4 linked regions of the Caenorhabditis elegans genome follow. The protein of the gene in region 1 interacts with the protein of each later gene in a pairwise test. Each region holds a gene or a part of one and is shown in the gene's direction. Other genes may lie near its edges.

What was found.
Region 2: the proteins of T27A8.2 (region 1) and fozi-1 interact in a two-hybrid assay, tested with the Caenorhabditis elegans proteins (one large-scale study listed by BioGRID).
Region 3: the proteins of T27A8.2 (region 1) and nhr-88 interact in a two-hybrid assay, tested with the Caenorhabditis elegans proteins (one large-scale study listed by BioGRID).
Region 4: the proteins of T27A8.2 (region 1) and drap-1 interact in a two-hybrid assay, tested with the Caenorhabditis elegans proteins (one large-scale study listed by BioGRID).

The regions. Positions count from the first base shown.
Region 1 is NC_003284.9:16,057,129-16,060,819, reverse strand, and holds T27A8.2 (Fork-head domain-containing protein), read left to right. Parts: upstream 1-1,874; 5' UTR 1,875-1,885; coding exon 1,886-2,145; intron 2,146-2,772; coding exon 2,773-2,893; intron 2,894-2,944; coding exon 2,945-2,989; 3' UTR 2,990-3,144; downstream 3,145-3,691.
Region 2 is NC_003281.10:9,280,011-9,284,803, forward strand, and holds the start of fozi-1 (Formin-homology and zinc finger domains protein 1), read left to right. Parts: upstream 1-1,770; 5' UTR 1,771-1,923; intron 1,924-4,793. UniProt on the Caenorhabditis elegans protein: Acts redundantly with hlh-1 to promote body wall muscle cell and coelomocyte specification in postembryonic mesoderm progenitors, probably through suppression of sem-2.
Region 3 is NC_003280.10:2,976,604-2,981,474, forward strand, and holds the start of nhr-88 (Nuclear hormone receptor E75), read left to right. Parts: upstream 1-1,812; 5' UTR 1,813-1,821; coding exon 1,822-1,886; intron 1,887-2,301; coding exon 2,302-2,399; intron 2,400-2,665; exon of another isoform or gene 2,666-2,740; intron 2,741-2,785; exon of another isoform or gene 2,786-2,839; intron 2,840-2,971; coding exon 2,972-3,426; intron 3,427-4,152; coding exon of another isoform or gene 4,153-4,242; exon of another isoform or gene 4,243-4,327; intron 4,328-4,871.
Region 4 is NC_003283.11:9,730,037-9,734,536, forward strand, and holds drap-1 (Transcription factor CBF/NF-Y/archaeal histone domain-containing protein), read left to right. Parts: upstream 1-1,922; 5' UTR 1,923-2,128; coding exon 2,129-2,201; intron 2,202-2,478; coding exon 2,479-2,720; intron 2,721-2,769; coding exon 2,770-3,393; intron 3,394-3,497; coding exon 3,498-3,554; 3' UTR 3,555-3,986; downstream 3,987-4,500. Other genes in the region: cal-7 (EF-hand domain-containing protein), read left to right, coding at 4,067-4,157, 4,201-4,268.

The DNA.
Region 1 (3,691 bases):
TTTTTTTTTGCAAAAAAGTGCAGTCATATGTATGTAAAAAAATGAATTGAAGACAAAAACCCCTGTAGCGCGACCAAAAACGAATTTCTTGACCCAGAAACGAACCCATAATACTAAAAAAAAAATTAGCAATCCATTTTCATAGAAATTCTCCCAAAATTCCGAAATTTTTATTTTTGTTTTTTGTGCCTGTAAATACCTGTTGAAATTGGAATACAAGACAAAAACCCCTGTAGCGCGAACAAAAACGAATTTCTTGACCCAGAAACGTACCCATAATACTTTTAAAAAAATTAGCAATCCATTTTCATAGAAATTCTCCCAAAATTCCAAAATTTTTATTTTTGTTTTTTTGTGCCTGTTGAAATTGTTGATATTGAGGAAACCTGTTGAAATTGGAATTCAAGACAAAAACCCCTATAGCGCGACCAAAAACGAATTTCTTGACCCAGAAACGTAATACTAAAAAAAATTAGCAATCCATTTTCATAGAAATTCTCCTAAAATTCCAAAATTTTTTTTTTGCAAAAAAGTGCAATCATATGTATGTAAAAAAATGAATTGAAGACAAAAACCCCTCTAGCGCGGCTAGAATATAACTTGTAGGTCCAGAAACTTATCCATAATCTTTTAAAAAATTTAGAATCCAAATCTATGGAAACCCTACCAAAATTCCAAAATTTTTGTGAAAAAACTTCTGTCGAATACCATAGGAATTCTTCTAAACTTTGAAAATTTTCATTTTTGTTTTTTGCGCCTATATTTGGATTACCGGGGGGAGTCCCATAGTTATTGGCGGGACATTCAAATTTTCTAAGAAAAAATTTAGGCGAGAAACTCAAATTTCCTGAGAAAAAAAAACATTTTGGCAGGAAATTCAAAGATTCATAGTCCGGAACTAGATTTGCTTTCTTTCCTTGTTAGTAGTGCGGCATTTCTTTTTGCTGCAAGATATGCCGTTGTTGTTCTGCTTATTTCTGGAAAAAATTTCATTTTAATATTTTTGTGAAAATTTTCTGTTTTTCCATGTTTTTCTATGAATAACTTTTATGGAAATTTTTATGAATTGTTTAGCTTTAACAATCCTTCTAACAGTTAGGAAATGACTAAATATTATAATGGATCTTTTAAAAATTTGTGGAATTTTTTTTTATTTCGGGTCTGATCGTGCGCCAATTTTGGAGAAACCAAAACACTGTTGCTTGTTTGAATCCCAACAATATTAAAATAGGATTACTGGAAACGTGAGTCAAATTTAAAACTGAAGGTAACTTTTTTTTTGAATATTTTTATTATGATATTTGGACATTTTTAAATTTTAATGTGAACGAGTTTTAATCTTTTCCCACAGGCCGTTGTCCATCTTCAATTAAAGTTTTTTTTCATCTTTACAATCATCAATTTTATAAAACCTTCAACTATGCTCAGATATAGCCGACTCAAACTTTTCATAATTTCGAAATTCAATTTTTTTTCAATTTTTTTGTTTCCTTTTGATTTGGTCATTACGAGTTCGTTGTCGTGTCAAGATTTGACCTACGACAAGTTGGTGTTGCCTGCAATGCGTGAGTCGCGCGACAGGTCTGCCCTCGTCTTCCGCACACTATTATCGATCGATGGTTTATGGCCGTTTGCTGACATTTGAATGTGCCATTCTCTCATATCCACAGCTATACTTTTTTGTGGTTTTTTTTTTGTTATTTTTCATGTAATTTTCGCCTAACTGAATCTGACGTCTGCACGATTTAAATTTTTTCCCACTCGGCAAGTTGCCGCAATATAAGATCCAAAAAAACAAGACATTTCTGTATTTCCTTTATTATGTACGTGGCAAATAAATTTGAGAACCTTCAACTAACTAAGTAAATTTTCATTTTCAGCTACCATGACGTATTTCACTCACGAAATGAACCAAATTATGGGGCTTCATCATCCGGAAATGGCGATGCCCAAGTTCAAAATGGTCGCCCTGGTCAGTGCTGCGATGGAAGAAGCGGATGACGTGTTTCCGGAGATTGAAGTAGTTGTCAAGTGGATCACCGACTTGTTCCCGTATTACAAAGTGTTTCACGATATGTACAAATGGGAGTTTGTTAATCATGTGGCCTGGGTTCTGGACACCGAACTGTGCTTTCGTCGAGAAAGGTGAGTTTTGTGAAGTTTGTAGAAATATTTTTAACAAAAATTTGAAACATTTCAAATTCTTTTTCAAATATTATCGGAAACTGAATTTTGTTGTCAGATTTGCGTGTAGCGTTTAAAAATTGGTTTTCATATAATTTTCAACAAATTCAAGTAAATCCAGAATGTAATTACAACAAAAAATAAAAATAAAGTTCTGCTAAAAAATATCAGATAACAAGTTATATAGCCAAATCATACAATTGCTGTTCATATAATTTAGACATAAGAACCAGAACTGTGCGGCAACCGGCAACCAAGTTGCCGGTTGCCAAAAATTTGCCGAAATTTCGGCAACCAAAATTTGCCGGTTGCCAAAATTTTTTGGGTTTGGCAACTTCGGCAATTGCCGGTTGCCGCACAGCCCTGATAAGAACCCCACAATTTCTCCAAAAATTTCACCAAAATTTCTTTTTATCAGTTTTTTGGAAAAACAAAAATATGTGAATACTCATAAAAACTGTATTTTTTTGGTTTATAAATTTTGCTAAATTTAATCACTAGCACTTACTTAAGAATAACTCCAAAAAAAACTTAAGAAATAACTCCAAAAACTATTCGTATATGTTTTTTTATACTTTCAATTTGCAGAGACGTGAGATCTGGACTATGGGCTTATGAAGACGGCAACAAGGATATTCTGGATGTTGAGGAGGAGTTTCGAAAGGATATAGACGAGTTGAAGCAATATGTGGAGCATCAGGTGGAAATGGTATGTTGCCATGGAAATTTCAGTCATATTATATTAAAAATTGTTTTGCAGACGGATCTTGCTGGACGGATGTATTCGATGTCCTCAACCGGGTGATCTCTTGACAAGTTTTTCATAAAAATATTTCATTTATACATTAATTCAACTTATTCACTTTTTAGATTTTATTGAACCAATTCTGTATATAAAAAAGTTTCCAGTTCAAAACATTCCTACCAACATAAATTTCTTCCGGAAAAATTGGAAAAAAATCATACAAACTTTGTTATTTCTGACAAACGCTGTGGGAAACTAAAGCAGAAAAAGAGAGTGAAAAGAGTATAAGCCTAGTTGAAGACAATTCTATGAAAATGAAAAAAACATTTTTCGATCTTTTGTCAATGTTGAATGAAACAATAAGATTCAACACCACCTTTTTGATCATCAATCTTCCGAACTTCCACTTATCTGAGCATGTGAGCAACTCAGAACCACCTTGGTTCGGTGAGGGGATTGAACCCTCGACTGTTGACTCCACGGTCGAGTGCTTTACCACACTTGACCATGTTGCCAGCTCAGGATGAGTCACTGATTGCGTTGAGTTGGCGCCATGAAAACGTGGCGCGGTGGCGTAGAATGGCGCAATTTGTGCTGAAAAATGAACACTAAATGTGGGTAAAGTATATATTTCTAATATCAGAATTTTGCACTGATTTCAATGGGCAGCTTCAAATTGTTCAATTTTCAATCTAGCAGAAATTGGGACTTTTGCCAAAAAAAAAAATAAATCGTCAAATTCTATTTGTAAACCACGTTAAA
Region 2 (4,793 bases), on another chromosome or scaffold:
AAACAAAAAATAAGCTCAATGGGTGGGATAGAAGAAGGGGGAGAGAAGTGGTCTGCGTCTCGTGAAAGTGAACAATGATTGCGTGAAGTTCAAACCAGATGTGGATATGTGTCTAGGATTTTGGAGATTTTCAGAACTAGAATTTAGGTTTTAGGCTGACTTTTTCGAGATTACAATGAATGGTTTATTTTCTTGAGATTTTTGTGGGTAGCACTACCTTGGAATACCGTATTATCCCTGCCAGACTTGAAACATTTTCAGTGTCTTTCAACATACCAGAAAAAAGCTAAAGCTTGCGCTATGAGTTTTCTTGATTTAAAACTTTAAAAATAAGAACTTTCACCTTTTGAAATTATTTACATTTCTTCGAAAGAATCGGACTTCTACAGACTACAGTTTTCAAATTTATTTTCCGAAAATTTTCCCACTGTTTTCTTAGTTTCTCTAGAATCTTTACCTGCTCAAAGTTCACACCTATTCATTTTTGTTTTCCCGTTTGTTGTTTTTTTTTTCATTCACCTTTTCTTTTTCCCCCATTCATCGAGCTTTTTTTGGTGTCTGTCATCGAGTCCATGGGCTTAGCGAGGCTTGAAGATGAGCGCGCGCAACTTTTCGCGTTGATTGTCGCATTATTCCCCCGCGATCCCATTTTGCTCTTCTCATCGCAACAGCAGCAGGCTCACACGTCGTTATAGTCTCCTGTTTGTTTCGCAAAAAAGGACTTGGCGTCCCCGAGAAGAAAACGATACGCAAACACATATATAGATTGCAAGCAAGAGTGAGAGGTGTGTGCAAGCTTAACTCGGAACACAACGGGAGCCACCTCTCGACCTTGTATGGGAGAAGAGTCAATGCGCCTGGAGGTTGAGAAAAGAAAACAATGATCTTGATCCAAAATGATCTCGATTTCTTTTTTGAGCATTTCCAAACATCCAGAGAGCTCATACCGTAACTTCCTACTATTTTTAACATCAAAGCTCTATATGCTATAAGATTATGAAAAATGTGATTGAAAAATGGAGATTTTGAGAACATCCAGGGATCATCCAATGGTGGTTTACAACTTTTGATAGCTTATTTTATCCATTATAATATCCAGATTTTTCACAATTTGTCACTTGTTATAGTAGCTTTGTGACAGATTTTTATTTTATTTTTGCTTGAAATGCTCTCCACAGGGTGGTTTTTTTCGCTGTTCTCTGTATTTGAACAATTTTTTAAGATTTTTTCAGTTTTATTTCAGCTAGAAAAGTTTAGAGTAAATAGGCTACGGTATAAAAAATAGGTTACGGTAGAAAAACAAAATCTTCGTAAATTGTTTAGATTTTTTGAAATTTTCAGTTGACGATTAGGTAAAATGGTAAAAAAGAAATGTTCAAATGAAAATATTTTTAAAAAAATTTGAATTTCAAAAATTTGTTGCAGAAGTTTAGAGCGTTCATGTAGGCGCCAAAACGTCATTTCTTAATTTAAAAAAAAGTTCAGAAAAATGCGCGAAGATGGTGTGAGGAAGCCAGTTTTCAGGCAGGCGCCATGTTTTGAAACCGAGCCTGCCTTGTATAGAAGCAATGCAGAAATGAACATTTTCATGTTCAACATCTGAAATTATGAGTGATTGCAAAAAAAACCATTTTAAAACATTTTTTGAAAAGTTTACTTGGCTCTAAATTTAAAACTTTTGTTTTTCAGAAACCTAAATCTTCAATGTTAGAAGCTACCGTAACCCTTCTCCCCCGTTTTCAAAAAATCTCATCTCTCCTTAATTTGTATTTTCAGAGCATCCTACAACCTCTTCTCCAACGTGCTCCAGCCAACTGACCACTTCACTCTCTGAAACCGTTCGCAATCAGCGGAAGACGCTGGTGGGGATTCGTCTCCGGCCGCCTGCGCCTGTACACACAATGACATAGACACAAAGAAAAGGTGAGGAGTGTGATCGTATTGAGAAATGTGCGAAAACGGGAGTAGGAGCTCCTGTGCTCAACCTTCTTATTCTCTTTATTTGACATATCGAGAGCATAGAGATGGACACCCCCTTAGAGCCACATTTGGACTTAGGCCAACGCCTGTGGTAGATTTGAAATTTCTAGTTTCTTGTTATGTTGTTTTCTTGTTTTGCTTTTCACCTTCTGAAGCTTCAGAAGCTTCTTTTGCCATCATCAACCCAATTACTATAAAGTAACAGAAACTTTCGCTGATGCTTCTCTTTCCTTCGTTTTTCTGGTACAAGTATCCGCCATCGAATGAAAAAATCTTGTTTTTAGCCCTCCCTAGTGTTCGTTGATGTTTCTTTTGTACATATATCCGTCGCTCTCTCCACCTCCATCTACTTCGATGGCAGTTGTTTTGGTGCAGGCACCAGGGGCGCAAAGGTGAAAGTGACGAAAGAGGCGTGGCAACCAGGAAAGAGTGGACCCTTAGTTTCCCAACGATTCGCCGCTTTCCCTCCATTTTCTCTAAACTTTCTCAGCTTTTCGGCTTTATCGACAGCTTCGTTCACCGTTCTCGATCATTTTTCTCACCTGAATTTTCAAAACTTTTGTCTTTTTTCCATGGAATACTTTTACATTTTCTATATGTAGTTTCATTTGTTCCAAAAAAATAAGTATTTTCTGGATAATAGGTTTCTGTATCTAAGTTTACGGTAGGTGCAAGTAACTTTGCGTAAAAATTGAAAATTAAAATGATTACTCAACTTTTTGAATACCATATTTCTCTAAAAAAGACTTGTCTTAGACCTTGCTCAACTTTGACAGTTTTGGCTCCAAATGGTTTCATCAAACAACTGTCAATTGACAAAATACGTGCAAAATATTTTTTCTATATTTTGATAGTGGAACATTTTTTGATAAAAACCTAAGAAAATCGAGATATAAGCCACTCAAATTATAACATTTTTTAGAAGCTAGAAAACGTAATTTTCAGTTTTACCTTGTCCCCCTGAAAGTTCATGAATTTCAATTTAATTATTTTTTTCCAAAAACCGCATCGTGCCAAAGATTTTCATTTTAAGCTTTATCCTAGATCCACCCGACCAGATTACCATAAGTTGAACTTGTTTTGTTTGTTGAGTTTTTATTCCAGCAAAATCGCACCGTATCTCATCTCTGATTTGTTATTCCCATTGTTTTCTGGTGGAGGTTTCGTATTCGAAATTTTTTTTTTAATTTTTAACGGCAATTTTGAATGTATTTTTCAAATGTTAACGAAGAGTTTTTTCGATAGTGTTACTGGATCTTTGATAAGCATATGATCTTCTTAGCTTTATCGTCTGATTTAAGTCCAGTAAAAAAATAATCTAGAAAAAGTTGAGCAGGTTTTATGACTGTTTTTGTGAGGAATTGTAGATTTGATTGAACATTTTTATAATCTAAAATTATTTTTAACTCAAACTTCAAAAAGCACTTCAAAAATGCAACGAGTATGATGGATGGAAGTCAACCACAAAAAAACATATTTTTTAGATTTCTAAAACTGAAGGCTCTAATTTTTTAAACATTAAGTTTCTAGTAACAAAGTCAAAATTTACTCTGCTATTTCGTACTAGCTACTTCCTCATTTCGAATTTTCAACTTTGACCTCATGGACATATCCACGTGTCGACACAATTTCTAATCGGCTAAGCTCCTACTTAGTCAGTTTTCATCGCGACTAATATTTAACAACGATGGCCTTATCCTATTCAGTTAAGCCTTGGATTCAAAAATTTTGAAAATCTCATACGAAATTGAAAACCTATCAACGTATCAAGTTGGTGTCGGGTCTTCTATATTTTTTTTGGTTAAAAAGAAGATTGAAGCCCTTTAAATTTTATCCAGCTTCATCGAAGATTTCACAAATTTCAATGAAATTATTCTTCAAAAATCATCGAGTCTCCTCCCTTCTTCCCCCACTTTTTCGACATTAACTTCCCATTTTTTGAGAGGTCATCAAACTTTTAATGATCTCTCGAGTCGTCCATCAACTTTCACTCATTTCACAGTTGTTTTACGGCTCATAACTCCGCGAATCTCGCACCCATATAAACTCTCATTTTGCTTGATAATTTCACACTCAGTTGCAATGAGTACTGTAGTCTTTATGAAGTCTAAACTTAAAATTTTCACGCCAAAATAATGTGAGAATTTTAAATTTTCTAACCATGATTGAGAGAAATTTCCAAAAAGTTACTGTATTTCCTTACATTACTTCACTTTGAAAAGTTACATTTCGGTTTATTTTGAAGATTTCAAATTTTCGTACTATTCCTTTAAAAAAACATAAATAATAAAATTTATGAAGTATCTCATTGGTTTCACTGCTTCATATTTCTGGGAAATAAAATATTTCTATTGACCTAAACTATCTTAAAATTATCTATATTCCAATTTAATACTATGTACTTTCCATCTCACCCATCTACCGAGTTAACTGCAAAATTTTTCAAAAGTTATGAAACTAATTATTCCTCCGGCAAACAAATGTGCCTATCACACGCTCTATTCATACCATATTAACTTGCTAATCAACTACTTTTGTGTTGTTAATCACTGACACATATGTAAATTTCATCCTCCAATATCTCGCTCCTATTGTTCCTCCTGTTTTTGAATCATGGTGGTGCTGCCAACTCAGCTCCACTTAGGGGCGGCGCCTGATGTCCAATTGGGCTCTGCCGGCTTTTGCTACCAACTCATTACTTTTACACCTACGGTACCTATTTTTTGTGTTTTTCAGGATACCTCTCAACTATTCATCAGCTTCATCTAGTCATCTTCTTTTACCTGTAAGTAGTGAACAAAACAAAAACTCGA
Region 3 (4,871 bases), on another chromosome or scaffold:
GTAATTTTCTCTACAAAATGAGCTTAACCTTCCAGAGGCTCCGCCCACTTTTCTCCCTCCACACGCCACGCTGTCCTCGTCGTGTCGCCCTCATTTTCTGCCACCACCACCACACAAGTTTGTTACTTTTCTCCGTTTTTTTCTTCTTTTTTTCCCTTCACATTTTTCTCCTTTTTCTCCTTTTCTCCACAAATTCTTTCCACCTTTTTGCCCCCCTTCTCAGCTTCTGGGGGCTCGAGCACTAAAAGGGAGAAGGTTTCGAAATGTAATGCATGTTTCCGTTCTAAACATACACATACATACACACAAACACGCACGAGACGCTAGAAAAAAATGGAGAGAAAAAAATTTCCTCTCCGCTGGCTCTCCGGAGAAAAAGAGAGCTCACCTCCACATTTTTTTGGGGGAGACAGGAAAAGAAAATGCAACATTTTATGGATCCCTGAGCATGATTTTAGTATGGAATTTGGAAAATTTGGAAAATTTTGATTTTGGGGAAGTTTTGGAATTGTTCGATTTTTTGAAAAAAAATTGCCAAAAATTGTTTTTTTTTCAAAAACTTTCCTAATTTTTGGGAGGTTTTTTTTGATTTCTCTTTAAACTTTATATGTTTCTAAAATATCTATAATTTTCAAAAAAAACCATACATTTCCTGTAAAAATCTATTTAAAAAATTATTTTTTAATTTTTCCCGATTTTTTTTTCAAATTTTTGAGATTAAAAATTACCAATTTTCTAATTTTTTTCAAAACAGAACAAAGTTGTTTCTAGTTTGAGAATTCATGACGAGAAAAAAAGAAAAAAAACGTTGGTAATTTGAGATCGACGGAAAATCTAGAACTTTTTGTTTGTTCAGATAGTTGTTTTTTTTCGAAAAAAAACTTTTTTTTCCGCAATTTTAAAAGTGATAGTTTATGTACCTTTAAAAATTAGGATATCTAAGTGTCTTTAGCCGAAGAGCAATTTTTGGTGTCAATTTCCATTTAAAAAATTTCAAAAAAAAGTCTGAAAATTTTTTTGGAAAAAGCTCTAAAAATTCGGAAAAATTCCTACAGTCCGACAATTTTCAAAATTACTCTAAAATATCTGAAAATTTTCAATTTCCCCCGAAAAATTCCCACAAAATTCCCCCATCCAACTTCTACCAGAAAATTCAGAAAACCGGTCGAACGAAATTTCCCCAATTTTCTTTTCCAATCTTTCTCCCTTTCTGCCCCCTAAAACTTTCCCCGGTTACTCTCTCTCAAAAAAAAAAACGAAAAGAAACAGAAAACATCATCTTAAAAGAGAAAACTGGTTCCTAAAAATTGATTTGGCGGGAAATTTTGTTGAGAAATTGGGGGTCAGGCCAAAATTGGACACTTACTTTTCAGTTTTGTCCGGTTGGTTTTCTTTGCGTGGTTGTCTTAGGCCTAGGCCTAGTTTCAGGCTTAGGGTTAGGCTTAGGCTTAGGCTTAGGCTTAGGTTTATATTTAGCCTTAGGCTTAGGTTTAGGCTTAGGCATAGACCAAAGTTTAGTAATCGGCTTTGGCTGAGGCTTAGGCTTAGGGTTAAGCTCAGGCTTAGGCTTATTCTTGAGCTTAGACTTAGACTTAGGCTTAGGCTTAGGCTTTAGAGCTGTTTTCCCTCTTTTTTTCTCAAGTTTTACTCAAAAATATTCTGCTCATTTTGCTCTTTTTTCTATCCCCTCCCCCTCATATCCGTCACGCTTCTCCCTTCCTTTCAAAGCATCAAAGATTTTTATTTTCTCATTTTTTACTTATTGCTCCGACTAAAAATATAATATAAAATCTCATCTTCTTTTTTTTGCAGCATCTCTATATGTTTGCTCCTTCGACGGTTTATACCTATGGACATCATGGTTCTGGAACAGACGAGGATGATGGGTGAGTGTACAGTACCCTACGGTATTCATAGTCTATCACCTACAGTACCCCTGAATCAACTACAGTGCCCATATGGTACCTAACTACAGTACCTATAGTCTAGTTTTGGTACCCCTATGGGGTCTAGCTACAGTACCCAAATAGATCATAGCTACAATACACATGTTGTACATAGCAACAGTAGTTACAGTAACCATATGGGCTGATGTACAGCACCCATATAGTTCATAGCTACAGTACACAAATGGTTCCTAGCTACAGTAATCATAAAGGAACTAAGTAGAGTTACAGTATCCATATGGTGTCAAGTTACAGTACCCCTAATCCAACTACAGTACCCGTATGGTACCTAGCTACAGTACTCACAGATTACAATTGAGATACAAAACCCCCAAAAACTTTAAAAAAATTTCAGTCAACAGGTCATGCCAGGAATGGATAATGGTGATGGGCAGTGTATGGTGTGTGGAGACAGGTCGGCTGGAAAACACTATGGAGTAATGGCTTGTTATGGTGAGTTTTTCTTTTTTTCCAATTTAGGCCTAAGCCTAAGCCTAAGGTGCTAAGCCAAAGCCCAAGCCCAAGCCTAATCCTAAGCCTAAGCCTAACCCTATGGTCTGAAGTTTATGGCCCTAAGCCTAAACCTAAGCATAAGCCTAAGCTTAATCCTAGGCCTGAGCCTAAGCCTAAGCCTAAGCCTAAGCATAAGACTAAGCCTAAGCCTAAGCTTGATCCTAGCTTTGAGCCTAAGCCTAAGCCTAAGGTCTTGAGTTTATGACCCTAGGCCTAATCCTAAGCCGAAGCCTAAGCTTAAACCTAGGCCTGAGCCTAAGCCTAAGCCTAAGCCTAAGCATAAGACTAAGCCTAAGCCTAAGCCTAATCCTAGCTTTGAGCCAAATCCTAAGCCTACGCCTGAGCCTAAGCTTAGGCTTAAGCCTAAGCCTAAGCCTGAGCTTAAACTTTGAGCTATCAAAAATCATGCAATTTATGACTTATTCATGTTTTCGACTGGAATATTTCAATAGTTTACACAACTTTTTCAAGATTCAATTTTTGAGATATCGCTCAAATTTCTAAAATTTCAGGTTGTAAGGGCTTCTTCCGCCGAACAATCCGATCCCAACAGACCTACACCTGCCGATTCACCCAAAAATGCGCCATCGACAAGGATCAACGCAACGCATGCCGTTACTGCCGGTTCCAGCGTTGCCTGACAGTTGGCATGGAGCCAGAAGCCATTCGACCGGATCGTGACGTCATCGGCAAGCAGAAGAATCCACGGAAGAAGAAGATGAAGTCCGACACGAATAGTGGAAGCATCGATGCATCCCTACCCTCACCGAATGGCTGCGATTCTCCAGTTTCCAATAATGAAGATGTTATTTTGTCATTTTTATTGGATGTTGAAGATCAGGCGACTTGCGGGAATAATCATATCACAATGCCTATTGGAATATCAATGATGATGAAGAATGACCCGGATTTCGATGTGTCCACTTTGTTCCATAGTCAATATGTCAGAAATCAGGAGAGCTTTCCGGTGAGTTGTCGGCTGCTCCTAGGTAAACTTGAAGGGAGCTTCCAGTAACCCGTGATGTGTCGGCCGTTTCTAGAAACAAGGGAAATGTCGGCTGCTTCTAGAAGCCCGGCAAATGTCGGCTGCTTCTAGAAACTAAGCAAATGTCGGCTGCTTCTAGAAACTAAGCAAATGTCGGCTGCTTCTAGAAGCCCGGCGAATGTCGGCTGTTTCTAGAAACCAGGCAAATGTCGGCTGCTTCTAGAAATTTGAAATACAGTGTGGGAAAGTTCTATAGGACCCCCCCCTAATTTGAAGGTTTGAGGAACTTCCGAAAATTTTTTTGAAAAACTGCTAATGCCATTCGTTTTTAAATTGAAAAAAACCTATATACATTTTTTTCCAGAAGTTTATCTCAAAAACTGAGGTCGCGCTGGAAAAAACGTCAAAATCCAGTGTGAAACTTCTATAGGACCCCCCGTTTTTTTTCACGATTTTTACTAAAATCAACAGATTTTGGAATTTTTGACAAAGCTCAAATCAAGTTTGAGTTAGAAATGAGTTCAGATAAGCAGTTTTGACTTTAAAAAATTAATACGAAATGTTCTCGTGGGATCTCCAGACTGGTTCTGATTCTTCCGATCTTTGATGTTCAAGTCTGTTTCAAGCTTCCTGGTGCTCTCGGTAATGCCAAAACTTGATAAACTCTCTTTAACAAGTTCCTACTAAAATTCCTAGCACGCACTTTAGATGTTTCGACTGTGTAGTCAAGCTGATTTGGCAAAATATGCAGCAGGAAACAATGGAAGGCTTATCAGGAATCAAATCGTTTTTCTTTGATTACAAGGTTCCATGGGACCAATATTTCAAGTTAAATTGTCCCTCACAGATGTTATTTACTATTTTTTGCGTGAATTATTAAATGTGGAATTGTGGCATGTGTTGTGGCACACATATAGAGGCTGGAAAGCTTACTTCGAAAGCAGTCTAACTTGCAATGCCTCGAGGATCTGCCCTTTCGGACACTGAACGCGCTCAGCTGGATGTTATGAAATTGCTCAATGTGTCCCTGCATGAAATGAGTAGGAAAATTTCCCGTTCTCGACACTGTATTCGCGTGTATCTGAAGGATCCGGTGAGCTACGGTACATCTAAAAGAGCTCCTCGTCGCAAAGCTCTCTCCGTGCGTGACGAACGAAATGTGATTCGTGCTGCCTCCAACTCCTGTAAGACGGCAAGAGATATTCGCAATGAGCTTCAATTGTCTGCTTCAAAAAGGACCATCCTCAATGTCATCAAACGATCTGGTGTAATCGTTCGTCAGAAACTTCGCCCTGCTCCGTTACTCTCTGCAGACCATAAACTCAAGCGATTGGAATTTGCTAAGAACAATATGGGAACGAATTGGAGTAAAGTGAGAATTTAAAAAAGCAAGAGTGAATAATTAGGATCATTGTTTTAGGTTGTCT
Region 4 (4,500 bases), on another chromosome or scaffold:
ATTTTGTTTTTTCTCTTGTCTACTTTCATTTATTCTACAATTCTCTTAATTTATAAAAATTTAGTAATATTTCAGATACTTCGACGACGTGAAAGCCATTTGAGACTTCAGCAGCAGCCAATTGTCACTGGTGAGTTCTTTTATTGGTTAAAATTTAATATTGAAAATCGATAAACTAAAAAACTCTGCATAATTAAATAGTAAATTCGTGTTCAATTTCGTTCTTTCCGAAAAACAATGTTGAATTCAATCGTCGACTGAATTTCTGATTTTTTTTTCTGAAAAGATATCACATTTTCTATTAATTCTAAGTAGTCTGAACCAGCTGGGCGACAATTCCAATTTCGCTATTTTGACAGTTAAACAATTGCGGAAAATACTGAGTTATCGAAAGTTCATCAATTCATCAATTTCCAAAAATGCCGATTGCTGGGAAATTGAAAATTCTCTAAAAATGTTCATATCCAAGAAGAAAATCTGAAAATCTGTAAATTTTTATAAGTTAATATACAAAGAAAAATTAGATAAATCTTTTGCCACAAAAACTTCACTGCTGTACGAATTAAATTTTCTTTCATTTGTAGATTTTTTTCAAAATATTTTAAATGTGCACAAGACATTTGGCCAAATTTTTAACTTGATCAATGTCGATCAATATATTTGCCGAAAATGTTCTTTTGCCGCCCATCCTGGTCTGAACTTAAAAATGTTTGCGCAAATTTGCCTCTAAGTTTTTTTTCTAGTAAATTGGAGAATAAAAATTCGCAAAAAGATCTCAATCACCTCATAGGCAACAATTGCAAAAATATCCGTTCAATAATTCTTTATGCAAATACTGAACAGTTAAGATAATTTCATCATTTCAATATCTCGACTTTGCTTCACAAAAGAACAATCAATAATTCGACGGCAAGCTGACAAATCAGCCATCTATCCATCTGTCCGTCTGTCCACACAAAAACATACAAATCGAGTATGCGGAGGAGGAGTCTATGTTCTTTCCCTCAACTCTCTGCTTCTCTCATCTTCTCTTCCCTCTCATCTCGGCCCGTACAGCTGCATCAAAGACTCTCAAACATCGGCGCGGCGCGGGCGCACGCTAAATAAAAGGGGGAAAAGGTAGTGAAACGACACGTGGAGACGCAGAACAAGCAGCGGGTACCGTAGTCGCGCAGACCTGCGAATCACCGATTTGTCCGCTGTATATAAAGGAGGGAAGAACGCGAGGTCTGCGTGTGATCGGCCAGCGCCTTTCTGCTCCTATTCTCCGTTTTTCCCCCTTCTATCTCCTCTTTATACACTATTTCCCTTAGATTCTCTCGTCTCCTCACCGAAGCGCTCAATCACTCGTCTTTACGCGCTCTCCTCCAGTCCTGGCCAGTAGATGTGTAAGTGTGTGTGTGTGCGTTGACATCGAATCGAATCGACACGACGCAGAATGGAATAAATGGCGTTATCATTAAAGAATGAAATAACCAAAATGAAAGCGAGAAATAGAAAAAAGGAAGATACCATCACGCCTCTTTTTTGTTATCAATTGTTGTACTGATGTGATGATCTATATTGTTATAGTGATCGATGAGACCCGAACGGCTGTGTACATACAGAACATATAGAACATAACACACTTGTTGCGAAACGGAGTTGCTCTAACGGGAAATGAAATATAACAAAATCTAATTATCTGAATCCCTTTGTTACTGAGCACAGAATATTTTAATAATTCCAATCAATATCAAATAGTGACCATTAATTTTAGAAAAAAAAGTTTGCGTTGATTATTCATGGGCTCTAAATGTCTTTTCCAAAGTTGTTAAGAGAGCTTCTATGAATGAAACATCATGTCCTTCTTTCATGGTTCAATAATCTCTCATTTCATCGCTTTACCTCAAGAGTATTATACAGTAGCTTCCAACTTTCAGTTAGTCTCAGGCCCATCATCGATGACGTCTTCGGAATAGTTCTATATCTCTCGAAAACCACCCGTTGTTCGTTCTTTCTCTCTCTCATTTTGTGCCTCCAAATCTCCACAACATCGTCTTCTCTCGTCAGCAACGTTTCCGTCGGAGACACTGACACTTTTGGAAGGAAACCAGAGAATACATATTTCGAGAGAGGAGAAAACAAGATGGATCAGAATAGAGGAAGCGATGTTGGCTTTGCGGTGCCGATGTTACCCGTCAATTATGCATCGGCTACTCGTTAGTTTTGACCTTATCTTTTAGGGTGGATGGAACAAAAAAGAAACTCGATTATAGATAATCGGAAAACGTACATTCATAAAATCTTAAAATGAAAGCTTATTTATTTTCAAAAACCCTTAATTTGTTTTGGGTAAAACCGTCAGTATCCGGCATCATTTCTGGATCATGAACTATCTAGAAACTTCAAAAAATATGCGACTTAAAACAATTTGTAGATGTAATATCTAAGAATTAACAGATTAGGATCAAATCGTTATTTAAATTTATTTTTCAGAAAAAATGTCAACGTTGGCATCCACTTCATCAGCCGGTGCTTCATCATCAACAGGTAGCAGCAACCAACAGCAGCAACAGGCAGCTGCTGTGATCCGAAGACGTCGTTTCAGCACTGCAAAAATTCAGCCAACACGCATAAAGAAGGTTATGCAAAGTGATGAGGATATCGGAAGAATGGTTCAGTCAGTTCCTGTCAGCATCGGAAGAGCAATGGAGCATTTTGCGGAGAAGTTTTTACAGGTGAGAAGACTCAGTCATAGTTATTTTGAACCTTGAATATATATTTGAGGCTGCCGCAGAAGCTACTCAATTCACATCTTCAAAGACGCTAAACCCTCAACACATGAAGCAGGCGGTTCTCAACACTCCACACTTTTCATTTCTAGAATCAGTCTTCAAAGATGTTGCACTTCCACAGCAAGCATCTGAATTGAATACTGCACGTACCGGCATGACATTGAGAGGACAGCAAATGCTCCAAGAGCAACAAAATTCAGATTTTGCTAGTGCAATTCTTGCCAATGCGCAGATGCAAATGATGCAAATGGATCAACAAGCATTGAAACAAGAAGATGGAACTATTTCTCCTTATTTAGTTGATCCGCAATCCCCAGCAGCACCACTTCCACTTTATCTTCAAGGGATTCCATCCAATTATCCAGTAGTTCAAGAACTCACAGCCACCGTACCACTTTCTCCTAGCACTCCGACAACTCAACTCGTAAATGGTATGCTAGGAATGCTCAAATACTCGAAAAAAGATTCTGAAGGACAACGTCTCACAGGATTAAAACGAGCATCTACTGATGGTGATGGAGAAGACAGACCAAAGCGAGGACGCCCAAAGAAGTTAAAACCTGAAAAATGTATTGATGATGATCTCTACGAGGAAGCTTCTAGGAATATAGCCAAGGTAATATTTGAAAAGTTTAGACATAGAATCAAAATGTTCTAAAGATGTAATTTGATTTACGGTTCTGTGATCCTTTTGATCTAAAGCAAAATTATCATTTTCAGGAAGACAAGGATCGCGAGTTGATGCCTCCTCCAGCACTGCCTATTGGCCGTCCGTGATCCTCACTTCTCTATGAGAAATTTTATTCTTCTCCTAATCGTGTACTTTTCAATGGTCTCGTTGCCCTCCATTTCTGATCTAAATTTCTCCTTTTCTATTGCTCCAAGTTAAGAAAAAAAAAACAAATCCTCACCGGGTCTACCCTATTCTCTATTTCTCTTGTTTTATTCATTTTTTGTCGTTCACTGGCAAATCAAAATTTAATCACTTCGATGTTCTCCCAATATGAACCATTACCGACCCACACCTTCATAAATCAGGATGCTCGTCGCTTTTCATTAAACCTTCCAAATGTTCTCTGTCATATGTTTAACTTGTTTTGCTCTTTGTCTCTCTAATTCAATTTTTCTCTTCATTTTTATATTTGTCATGCTTTAGAATTCAATTTCCGTTTTTGTAGTATTTAATATAAAAATTATTCAACCAGAAAACGTATATTTCCGACAGAAAAGACCACTAAACTCGCGCAACAACTAGAGCGATCTACATTATATTAGTATTCAGCTAAATTATGGATCTGAGCGAAGATGAAGATTTATTAAACATTGAAGAAGAAGGGGAAAATGAGAGCCAAAAAGAAGAAGTAGATTCTGTAATTGTTGGTTTGTAATATTTTGTCCAATTTAAACAAAAAAGGAAGTTCAGAAGATATTCGACGTCGTCTTTTCGATGTATTCAAGATGTTTGACGAGGATTCTGATGGTTTGATTGAAGTGAGGATTACTGTAGTTACTGTTGAAACTTGGCTTTTCACGTGGTGCTTTTCTCCAACTTTCTACTCATTTATATCATTAAGAACCGGATCAAATAGACATTCCACCTAGTGTAGGCGTCACGGGGAGCCTATTCCCGCCTTCCCACTCGCCTTCCTCGCGCCCTTCAGTAGGGTGAGTGAAGAGGCGAACACGCCTCGAGTGCATGAAGTTATTTTTCATACTTCATAAA